Linked DNA regions of Schizosaccharomyces pombe. The main gene of each other region encodes a partner of the protein of the gene in region 2 in a complex. Each region holds a gene or a part of one and is shown on either strand. Other genes may lie near its edges.

Region 1 (3,756 bases), 3.7 Mb from region 2:
AGGATCCTTTACAACATATGAAAAAAATTTTTGGAGTAGATAATATAAAACTAATTAACTATACTTCTTCTCCTTCTGGTTCAAAAAAATTTGTAATGTGGAATCCACCTTATGTCGACCCCAAGCATCCTGATGATGGAAAGAAAAGCGCAATCTCTGAAGCCTCGAAACTGCTTATTAAATTTGCCGAAAAGCGGGTGCGTACAATTGTTTTCTGTCGTGTTCGAAAAACCTGTGAGTCGTTAATGAGACTAGTGAGGCAGGAATTAAAAACCAAACAAAAAGGAGATCTTTTATCTAAGATTCAATCGTATAGGGCTGGGTATACGGTTCAGGAACGCAGGAAGATAGAGAGTGAAATGTTTAACGGGAAATTATATGGGATTATTGCGACGAATGCTTTAGAGCTAGGTATTGATATAGGATCACTGGATGCCGTTATAACCATAGGATTTCCATATTCTTTGTCTAACTTGCGCCAGCAATTTGGTCGTGCTGGTAGAAGGAATAAGTCTTCCTTAGCAGTATATATAGTTGAGACATTTCCCGTTGATCAGTTTTATTTAAAGCATCCTATTTTGATTCACACTCAACCAAATGCTGAACTCACTTTAGACTTGACAAATGAGGTATTACTAGCGAGTCATCTTCAGTGTGCTGCATATGAGCTTCCCATTAACATAAGGAGCGACGAAAAGTTTTTTGGAAATCAAATTCAAGACATTTGCGAAGCAAATTTAGAAATGGTTGAAGAGAGTTATCGGCCTCATCCAAAATATCTTCCTTTTCCTGCCTCGCAGGTACGGATACGAAGCGTTAGTGAAGACATGTTTACTCTCGTCGATGTCACAAATGATAAGAATGTTATTCTAGAACTCCTCGAACCTTTTCGTGTTGCATTAACTGCTTACGAAGGTGCAGTTTATGTTTATCAAGGAAAAACGTTTATCATTAGGCTCCTAAATATTAACAAGAGAATTATTACTGCTCATCAAGTTGATGTTGAATGGTCAACATTGCAAAGAGATTTCACAGATGTTGATCCTGTTCGCAGCTTAATGAAGAAGACTATGCATGGAAGTACAAACATTTATTTTGGGGCTGTTAAAGCAACATTACATGTATTTGGGTATTTCAAAGTTAACAAGCAGAAAGATATTCTGGACGTGGTAGATATTACCGATCATCCTGTTGAAATTGATAGTCGAGGTTTCTGGATAGATGTACCTTGGCATATCATTGAGGTTTTGTCATTAAAAAAAATAAATGGAGCCGCTAGTATACATGCTGCCCAACATGCTTTACTTTCGTTGATGCCAATTTTTATTAGTAACAGCGGTAACGATATTCGAACAGAATGTAAAGCGGGTGAAAAGGAGTATAAAGAGGCTAAAAGCGAGCGAAGACGTCCTTCCCGACTCATTTTCTATGATAATTGTGGTGATTCATCTGGTGCTGGTTTATGCAACAAGGCATATGAACATACTGATGAATTAATTACAATGGCCATTGAGCGAATTGAGAGTTGCGATTGCAAAGTTCGTGAAGGTTGTCCCGGATGTATTACGAGTTCAAAATTTGAAGGCGGAGTTTGCTCTGGAGAAGTACTTGACAAGGGTAAGTATAGATATACTTTGCATTTTTTGTTGGACGGTGAAGCAATCCCGTATAGATTGGTCGCTTAGTAGTTTGTAAGATAACACTCTCATTTTTTTTATGATCAAATGAAAAGGGATTGCTTGCAAACTTAAATAGATTATTCACATTACTTCTACTAACATATTTCTTTCAGTTGGCGCTTTAATCTTATTGAAAATGCTACTGTGTCAACATGTAAATTTAGATATATATGCTGATGGACCAGAGATTGATTCATATCACGCTTTGCGAACTTTAATACCTTCTTGTTAATAATTGAATTTATTTTTTTTATTTTGTTTATATTAGACTAAATTATTAGTTAGTACTACTAATATTGCGTTGTGCTTTTTGATTTTACATTTAAACCCTACCCTAACTTACCGGAGTCAATGTTAGATACTGACAGCGCTCAGTGCTTACTACCGTACAGCCACCGTTCTCCTCATAGAAGCCAAGTCCCAATATAAATCTTGAATTTTTGTAAAAATATGAGTTTTGCACAAATTCTCCGTGGCTCGAGGGCAATGGCTTCTCCAAAATGTCTTCCAGAATCCAATTATTCAACATCACACCTTCGGTTTCCTCGATTGCAATCCATAACTTCAAAAAAAAATAGTAGAGCTCGTGGTGATTGGGGACTGAAAAGGACTCTTCCAAAAATAAAGACAAGATACATATGTGTGCGGCAGCAAGATTCCTTATACAAGCAAGCAGATTTTCAATCAAGCGCTAAATTTGTTCGTCTAGTTCGCAATTGGTTTGATGCTGGATTTGTACGAGATCCTTCTGAAGTTGCTTTGTTGCAAGAATTATTGAAAGAAACGGGGTTGAAAGATACGCGTGACATAAATAAGGTATTTTCTCCTTCTAAACAATCCGACGAAAATGATAACTTTCGCCGTTACGGAGTTTCTGGCGGTATTCAATACAGTAATGTTCCTTTAATTAATTCTCGAGTAACACCTAATTGTGAATCAAATTGTTCCAATATTCGACGTCGACTTACGGCCCATATAATTAGTTCAGATGCCTCTACTGCATACTACGGTTTAGGGGGCTTGATTCTGAGGCTACCTCGAACAGTTGTCTTTAATAGAAATCGGTCATCTCCCCTCTTTTCCCAGGAACAGCGCATTTCTTATACAGTCTATAAAAATGGTCGACTCCGACTAGTTCCCTTTTCCGGTCCCGAGTTAGAAACACATCTTGCCTATCCCTCGGAAGACTCGGAGGTTGAATCGTTTTTTAACAGAGATATTCAATTGGTAGCCAAAAGAGATTCATCTCTCGATGCTCCCGTATCCTATCAACGGGGTATTATGAAATTTTTTATGGCTCCCTCTCAAACCTCAAATAATGAAGCTAATTCCTCAGAGAAAGATAACCTCTCTAATTCGTAGAGGACTTTATGATCATGTGCATTTATGCTATCTCCTTATGGTTTACTCGATTTTAAGTTGCATTTAACAACCTATCATTTTTATTATTAAGAAGGTTCGTTTAAGTCTCCTATATTCTGTTGTTATCCCACAGTACAATCTACCACTAGCAATAATCTTAACGACATACGATTCTCCTTTAAAAAATCTTTCAATCTATTTATTCTTACTTCTCTTTGTGTGGCATCAAATTCTTGTACCAATAATGGGTCTATTGCTTCAAATGACTCTTACACTTTCCATTTGTTTCCCTATTTACTAGTTTACCCTAAACTGCGTTTTGCACTTGACGGTTGTTCATTTTGGTGAACAGTCATAACACTTGAACTGAATGTGTTTTCTAAGAAGTTTGTTTGGTTTGCAATGTTACATCCTTGTTCTCTGGGTGTTAGTGAAAGTCACTCTCGTTAATCTTGACTAGGTATATATTTCAGTTAACCGTTATTTTCGGTTTCACCTCGAAATAAATGTTTTTTGTTGATTATATAAGCGCAAGCGTTTGAAAAAAGAGTTAGAATTTTGTAAAGGATTTTTTTTTTCCGAAATTGTCTTTAAGTACAGTTCAATAACTTACAAAATCTTATCCTTTTACCATACATTGTTAATTGTGCATTTCAACTGTTTAATTAGATATAACTGATTATTAGCATATACTATAAAAATGACTGTAGATGTG
Region 2 (3,756 bases):
TACTATCAAGTCGTCGAAAACTCTTAAATTTGCCAGTAGCTATGGTACAAAAATTTTTTAAGTAACGTCAGGTAAGCAACACTTGATATATGTATGTTAAGTCAAAGTTATTTATGCGTTAGGAAAAACGAATGTTGACAGATTTGTTAGATATAAACAAAAGATTTAATAAAGCTAATCATTTTGCAAAATTAGGAGTCAATCTTCTTTCCTTTTTTAAAATCTCAATTTTACGTAACAGTTGTAGGTTACTTTTTTAGTTAGTGTACAAAAAATTCTTTAAGTTGACGACAGAAATAATTAGGGAAGTCTCTTGGTTAAAAAGAGTCTTGCACGGATACATCCATAATTACAAAGAAAGTGATTGCTGCTTTGAACTTCTTCGCTTTTGGTCTGCTATTTATTAGTGTACTGCAACCTAAAATTTATAAGAAAATCTTTAGTCTAAAGTCCACGTAATTGAAGGTAACTCTAATACAGGTGAAACTTAATGATCAGAATCCTATTTTATTTTTCTAATGAACTATTCAGAGGCTGTGACCGCGGATCCGTCTCTATTTCCCTTTTTGCTAGAGGCTATAGTAAAGCTAGATAAAGGTTGCTCCATTACTTGTAGCATGTAACGTAAACTTGAACCCCATTTAGCTAATTTTTCGTGTAAAGCAACCCATTCGTGCTTACCAAAGACACGATAGCTGCTACGGTGAATGGATAACGTTTTAGTCAACTGAGACATGCGGCCTTCAACAAGTCCAGCACGAATAACATCAATGATCCATAATTCTACTTCATTTTCATCAATCTTCAAACTCTTGGCTACATCACCATAGGATAATGTATTATTGGGAGCCTGGGTAGCTAATGAAGCAATAGTTAAAAGTTTCATCTTACGTGCAATTGCATCTTCATCAAATTTTTGGTGTTGGCAATGAGCATGGTTTTCGGCAACCCAACTTACATAATCGTCGGTCATCCCGCCGGACAAAATACCAAGTAACTGTAAAGTACTTTGTTCAAGCTGCTGAACGGGTGGAAGGGTGACAATATCATCAAAGAAAAAGTACTTAGGGCTGTTAACAGCGCGTTGAACTAATTCGCGAACCGCCTCGTCAGCAGTTGAGTTGTCCATTTTTACGGCTTCCAAAAGGAAAGCAAATGATTGCTCATCATCGTATGATTGAATAGCTTTAGAAACAAAAATATTAAATGCCCGATGGTCCGATACACTGACACCAGCTTCTTTAAGCCAGTCAGGGAAGTATTTCAAATTAGGTGCAAGAGTGCTAAACAAGGAATAACGGGTAGTGAGAGTAACAACACTAGTAAGAATGCTTAAACGTGCGTGTTGACGTTCTTTGACGGCCGTATTAAATAAAATGCTTAAGACACTGAGTATGGCAGGAGTGAGATTGTTGTTTTGATCGGCAATCTGCTCTAAGGCTTGGCAAAATTTAGAAACATGATCTTCGAAAGCAGCAGATTCTTGGATAAGATTAATAAAGACGGCTAAAATAGGCTCGAGTTCTGTTTCGTGTTAGTAATAGCATGGAAGAGAAAATAAGCGAAAACTTGGAAAGCTGCAAACCAAACACATCAGCTCATAGTATACTTTCAGAACTAACAATATAACAAATGCCCTTTAGCACTTATTAAAATAATTCTTTAATTTCCTAGCCTAAAACTATTTTGCATTACCTTTCTCAGGTGCTTGTGCCAACAATGGCAAGCGAGTCAGAAACAGATTAAGAACTTCTTTAACATTTTCAGAAGCCAAATATTCTCGGCAAAGAGCAAGTACATTTTTATCGGTATTAGCCTCAAGATTATCCAAATACATAGCCAATTCTTCCACCTTTTGAAATTTCGTTAGTTGAAAAAAGTTTTACCAAAAATCGCCGAGTCATTAGCGACATACCTGTTCCTCTACGGAAGAGTCAACTACCAAAATAAAATCAGAGCCTTCCATCTCTGTTATTAATACGAATCTAGCAGACGAGAAATGCAAATATTCGCTGTTAGTGGTAGTTGGAGAGTAGGACTTGGCACCTCCACCTCGTTCAATGGTTAAAACGAAGTGGAAGTAACAACACCAGGTTGCTACCTCACATTTATTAACGATTGCTGCATTAGCAATTAACTAGCTTTCTAACATTTCACCTCATGTTTTGGACTAGTGTAGCCAGAGCTCGGTCAGTCTGGAAAGGTAAATGAATATAAATATACTTGTTTTGAAAATAATTTAGAACCTGTTATTCTGACATTATAGGACCCAACGTGGTCGATTTCGGTGTCAACGTTCAGCAATGTATTAAAGGAAACGTTCCTATAAAAACAGCTGTGCGATCTGCAACTATTTTACCTAGAATGGTTGGGTATGATACTCGTATTTAGCAAGTGTGGACGTTAACTAACTAAATTCTAGTGCTCAATTTATGGTTCATAATGGTAAATCATATGCCAATGTAAAAATTACAGAAGATATGATCGGGCATAAATTAGGTGAATTTGCACCTACCAGAAAAGCATTTCATTACAGACAAACTAAAAATCGGTAATTATTTTGGATTCTTGGCGAAAACTGGGCTATATGGCCTATTCAAAACACTTTTCACATGGATTCATAACTACCAAGAATTTCAAGTCTGCCTCAAAATTTCAATTCGTGACTTTAAATGGAGCTACCATATTAGTATTTTGTAGGACATTTCCTGTAAGAAAGCGAATATATAATTCGCCGAATCTTTTCATTACTTTCAGGCTTTTAATGACAGCACTTCTTCCAATGGATGTACTTGCACGTATAAATGTATGTATGAAAAAGTGATATGATGTTGCATAATTTTCTGTCAATGTTTTACAAAAGAATTTTGCATTCCCCTACTTGGATTTTTTATTTTTAAATTTGAAACGCAATGGCTTATGTGTTTAATGTTATTGGTTGTACTTATTTAGTAGTCTGTATAATGAATAATTAACAGCATCGAAAAACCGAATGAACCCGATATCCCAAAAGAAAATGAAAAATTAATAATTGAAAGGCAATACGAAAAAAAGGATCTTTGGAAGTGTCGTTATAACAATTGAATAACTCATTTCTTTTCGTTTTTCCGACCCGTCTTTTTATCAGCTTTGTTATTGCTGATTTTTCTGTCAGATTGTTTAGAAAAGACGGCTTCGCGCTCGTGCTAACGTAAATAGTTAGTAAATTGACTGAAACTTGAAATCAAAATAATTCATGGAAATACTTACAGCCACTTGAAGTTTAGATTTTATTTTATCGTCAAGCTCATAAGTAACTTGATTGAGAATATTTTGAAGGTCATCCTGTAACAGCAATTAGTTAATGAACAATGAATGTGGAAAATGAATAAATAGATGAAGGAATGCCCATCAATTAAAATCAAAAAGTAAAAAAACAAACAAACCAAATCAGATCAAAAATTAGATTACATGACTCAAAAAGCGCAGCAAGTTCACTTAAAACCTTATTTGTCGGATCTGGTGGTAAAGAGGAACGAATGCGGAAGAATAGGGTTCAGGGCCTTGAAAGTTTATAAACAAGATTTGTAGGATTTATATAGAGAGATATTTATCATCGTAACATCTACCACACTGACTTGAGATTTTTGTTGTTTAATGTTTTTGAATATTACTTGTTGAGTAAATGGAAGCATTTTCAACATCTATAATGAAAGAACATGGATGTGAGAATGAATTACCTTAGTTTCAGCAAATATTTTCCCCTTCTTCTTCCCC
Region 3 (3,610 bases), on a different chromosome or scaffold from region 2:
TCGTCCAGTTCCTCATAATGGAACCAAGCCTGACCATAAACCCTGGAAGCACGAGGAACACTGCTCATGCCATCATGATAAGTTCCCTCGTCCAGTTCCTCATAATGGAACCAAGCCTGATCATAAACCCTGGAAGCACGAGGAACACTGCCATCACGGTAAGTTTCCCCGTCCAATTCCTCACAATGGAACCAAGCCTGACCATAAACCCTGGAAGCACGAGGAACACTGCCATCACGGTAGGTTCCCTCGTCCAGTTCCCCACAATGGAACCAAGCCCGATCACAAGCCATGGAAGCACGAGGAACACTGCTCATGCCATCATGATAAGTTCTCTCGCCCAGTTCCTCATAATGGAACCAAGCCTGACCACAAACCTTGGAAGCACGAGGAACACTGCCACCATGGTAAGTTCCTTCGTCCAGTTCCTCACAATGTAACCAAGCCTGACCATAAACCCTGGAAGCACGAGGAACACTGCCATCACGGTAAGTTCCCTCGTCCAGTTCCCCACAATGGAACCAAGCCCGATCACAAGCCTTGGAAGCACGAGGAACACTGCTCTTGCCATGAAGACCATTCAGTTCATGAGCGTCCTAGTGCTAAAGGGGCTCTCGAGGACTATATTCAAACATTTGTAGAAACTTTCCAAATTGATGGTATTCGTTTCGATGCTATGGGTGACAAATATAGAAAGTACTGGCCAGATTTTTGCAAAGCTGCTGGAGTGTTTTGCATGGGTGACTTGAAATCTTCCGACTCTTTAAAAGTTTGTGATTGGCAAAACGACTTGGAAGGGTTGAGTAACTTCCCTGTTAGAGAATCTGCTGTAAAAGCATTTTTGATGAATAATCCAGAGGGAATTGTTGATCTTGCCGACAAAATGACTGACATGCGCGGTTTGTGTGTCAATCCCCTATTGTTAGGAAACTTCGTTGAGAACAAAGACCTTCCTAGAATGGCTTCAATTTCTAGTGATCCAGCCACCTTAAAGAATGCAATTGCTTTTGTTCTTATGGGAGATGGTATTCCTATGATGTACAACGGCCAAGAACTTGCCATGCGCGGTGAAGAGGTTCCTTATAATCGACCTGCAATTTGGGAGAAAGGTTTCCCAAAAAGAAATCCTTACTATAAGTTCACGTCTACAATCAATCGTTTCCGCAAAGCTATGATTGAAAGCAAAGACGGAGAAGCTTTCTTAAATATGCAGTCGGATATTAGCATCGTTGATAAAAGAATATTGCTTTTACGACGTGGCAAAGTAATAACCGTACTCAACAACTTAGGTTCATATTACATTCATTTCCATTATACTGTTTCGGCAGAAGAGCACAAGTGGATGGACGTATTATCTTGCAAGTCCGTTCCAGTACAAGATAATCGACAGGTATTTATGGTACGCAACGGTGAACCCATGATCTTGTACCCAGAGGAATCGGCTTATGAGATGGGATTGTGCCCATCTCCAATTCAGCTTACTGAAGATTATAACAGTGAAGGTTCTCTCTCCATTAACGTTGAAGAAGCCCAAACATCAAAGGCACCAGAGCAAAATCGAGGATTTACCAATGTCCTCGCCGCTCTTTTATTATCTTTGTTAATGATTTTGTAGGTATACGTTCCTTGAAATCTAATAATATACAGATTTTTTATTTTACATAAACCTTTTTCATATAAAGTATGATGACTTAGTTTACAGACCCATAGGGCTCTGTACTGAAGTTCATGAACGATAAGTCACCTCAATATAAATAATAGACGGGTAAATCCATTTTAATTTTTGGCTTTAAATTACAAAGTACTCAAGTAAAGCTTTAGCCAAAAAAATTTAAACTCCCATAATGATATCCGACGCAAACCGTCCAAACGTATTCATAATTGCGGTGGTGTGGCTAACTTGTATTTGACACAAGGCGAGCTGCGATACCCAAACACGTCCAGTTCCCTTAAATACTTCGTTGTTGGTTTATATAGGTATTTCAGCAAGTTATACCTAATATTCAGATAATTTGCTTATGCTCAACACAGGTCTACGAAAAGGGCTTGCGCTTTCACCGATAACTCACCTTCTGAAACGATGTAGTTCAGTTACAGACAATGTGCATCGAGTAAACTATTGCTACAATTACCACACAGTTCCTAATCTTTCACAAAGAAATTTGCTACCACTTTTCAGTCCTGAAGCTCTTGACATTGCCTGGGACCAGCATCAACGTCAAGTAGTAAAAGAATTAAATGATCGAGTGAAGGGAACAGAACTTGAGGATTCATCTGTGTTTAACATTATCTTTCAAACAGCCGCTTTGCCTGAGCATGCAGCCACATTCCAGTTTGCAAGTCAAGCTTACAACAATCATTTCTTTTTTCAAAGCTTGATCGGAAAAAGAGCTGCAGATGCCAAAAAAAACTCAAAATATGAAGCTAATGCCGCTATCAATAAAGCAGTCAATGAAAACTTTGGTTCTAAAGAAAATTTACTTTCTAAAATTCATGAGCTTGCCTCAAATAGTTTTGGAGCATGTTGGCTTTGGATTGTAATTGATGATTATAATAGATTAAACTTACTGAGAACTTTTCAAGCAGGTTCTCCGTATCTTTGGACTAGATGGCAATCAAATGATCCCCATCTTATTTCTAGTGTGCCAGATTATAGTGCCAGACCTCGAAAATATGCGCATGTTCCCATTTTAAACCTTTGTTTATGGAATCATGCATATTATAAAGATTACGGTCTTTTAAATCGCTCAAGATACATCGACACATGGTTTGATTGCATAGATTGGTCTGTCATTGAGGAAAGATTGACTAATTCTTTGGTATGAAAGAAAGGTGCAATCAATTTAGATAATTATATCTCATCACAATCTTGTTATGATTTTAAAAAAACGCCTTTTTCTACTTTCACCTTATAAATTTCATTCTAATTTTAATAAAAATTGTGTTTTCTCTACTCGTCCTTGAAACTTCTACAGTAGACTGTTTTGGCTCATGCTCGTATTCTAAATGATTTTAGGCTAATTCCGAGCAATCGAGTCATATAAGTTAAGTAATTTATTAACCAATTAACCGATTTATTGCTTAGAGGTTGAGATTAAAAACATTTTTTTTGTAAAGCTAGAAAAGCGCCAATACACAATGTAATTTACAGTTTATAGTGTCTCTTTTTCATGCAAAATTAAAAAAAAAAGATACCACAGAAAGGAGAAATTGAAATTTTACTGGTGGTTTATTTGCAAAGATAGAGTGGATTAGATTGATATCTAAATGAGAATTGACTAGTAAAGAAAAAGAATGTTCAAGTTAAAAAATCAGTGAGATAAGTGGACGAGCAATTTATCTCCTTGCCGCTGGGTGAACATTTTAACTCTCAAAGAAAGACAGACACCCTTTAGTTATTTGACCACAGGGCTGAATAAACAAAGATTAAAGAGACAAGGGTAGATGCAAGATATCTTCAAGTTATAAAACGAATGAAATAACGTATAAAAGCGATTATTGGATAAATTAATACTCTTCGTCAGCTTCGTACATTTCGTTATCCATAGAATCTTGACCAACCTCTTCGTAATCCCTTTCTAAGGCAGCCAAATCTTCTCTGGCTTCTGAA

Evidence for each region.
Region 1: rsm19 (region 2) and mrp51 share a complex: the UniProt entries of both Schizosaccharomyces pombe proteins name them as parts of the mitochondrial small ribosomal subunit.
Region 3: rsm19 (region 2) and SPOM_SPBC16A3.14 share a complex: the UniProt entries of both Schizosaccharomyces pombe proteins name them as parts of the mitochondrial small ribosomal subunit.

What each region holds. Positions count from the first base shown.
Region 1 is NC_003424.3:4,111,970-4,115,725, reverse strand, and holds mrp51 (mitochondrial 37S ribosomal protein bS1m), read left to right. Parts: upstream 1-2,067; 5' UTR 2,068-2,129; coding exon 2,130-3,041; 3' UTR 3,042-3,756. Other genes in the region: RecQ type DNA helicase Hrq1, read left to right, coding at 1-1,617, 1,793-1,911. UniProt on the Schizosaccharomyces pombe protein: Component of the mitochondrial ribosome (mitoribosome), a dedicated translation machinery responsible for the synthesis of mitochondrial genome-encoded proteins, including at least some of the essential transmembrane subunits of the mitochondrial respiratory chain.
Region 2 is NC_003424.3:384,554-388,309, reverse strand, and holds rsm19 (mitochondrial 37S ribosomal protein uS19m), read left to right. Parts: upstream 1-2,139; 5' UTR 2,140-2,160; coding exon 2,161-2,203; exon of another isoform or gene 2,204-2,266; coding exon 2,267-2,372; exon of another isoform or gene 2,373-2,422; coding exon 2,423-2,555; 3' UTR 2,556-3,089; coding exon of another isoform or gene 3,090-3,185; 3' UTR 3,186-3,249; coding exon of another isoform or gene 3,250-3,324; 3' UTR 3,325-3,424; downstream 3,425-3,756. Other genes in the region: tif313 (translation initiation factor eIF3m), read right to left, coding at 524-1,524, 1,696-1,852, 1,916-1,966; pre-ribosomal protein Loc1, read right to left, coding at 3,090-3,185, 3,250-3,324, 3,720-3,756. UniProt on the Schizosaccharomyces pombe protein: Component of the mitochondrial ribosome (mitoribosome), a dedicated translation machinery responsible for the synthesis of mitochondrial genome-encoded proteins, including at least some of the essential transmembrane subunits of the mitochondrial respiratory chain.
Region 3 is NC_003423.3:4,270,346-4,273,955, reverse strand, and holds SPOM_SPBC16A3.14 (mitochondrial ribosomal protein subunit S26), read left to right. Parts: upstream 1-1,923; 5' UTR 1,924-2,018; coding exon 2,019-2,825; 3' UTR 2,826-2,965; downstream 2,966-3,610. Other genes in the region: meu7 (alpha-amylase 4), read left to right, coding at 1-1,615; nda2 (tubulin alpha 1), read right to left, coding at 3,508-3,610. UniProt on the Schizosaccharomyces pombe protein: Component of the mitochondrial ribosome (mitoribosome), a dedicated translation machinery responsible for the synthesis of mitochondrial genome-encoded proteins, including at least some of the essential transmembrane subunits of the mitochondrial respiratory chain.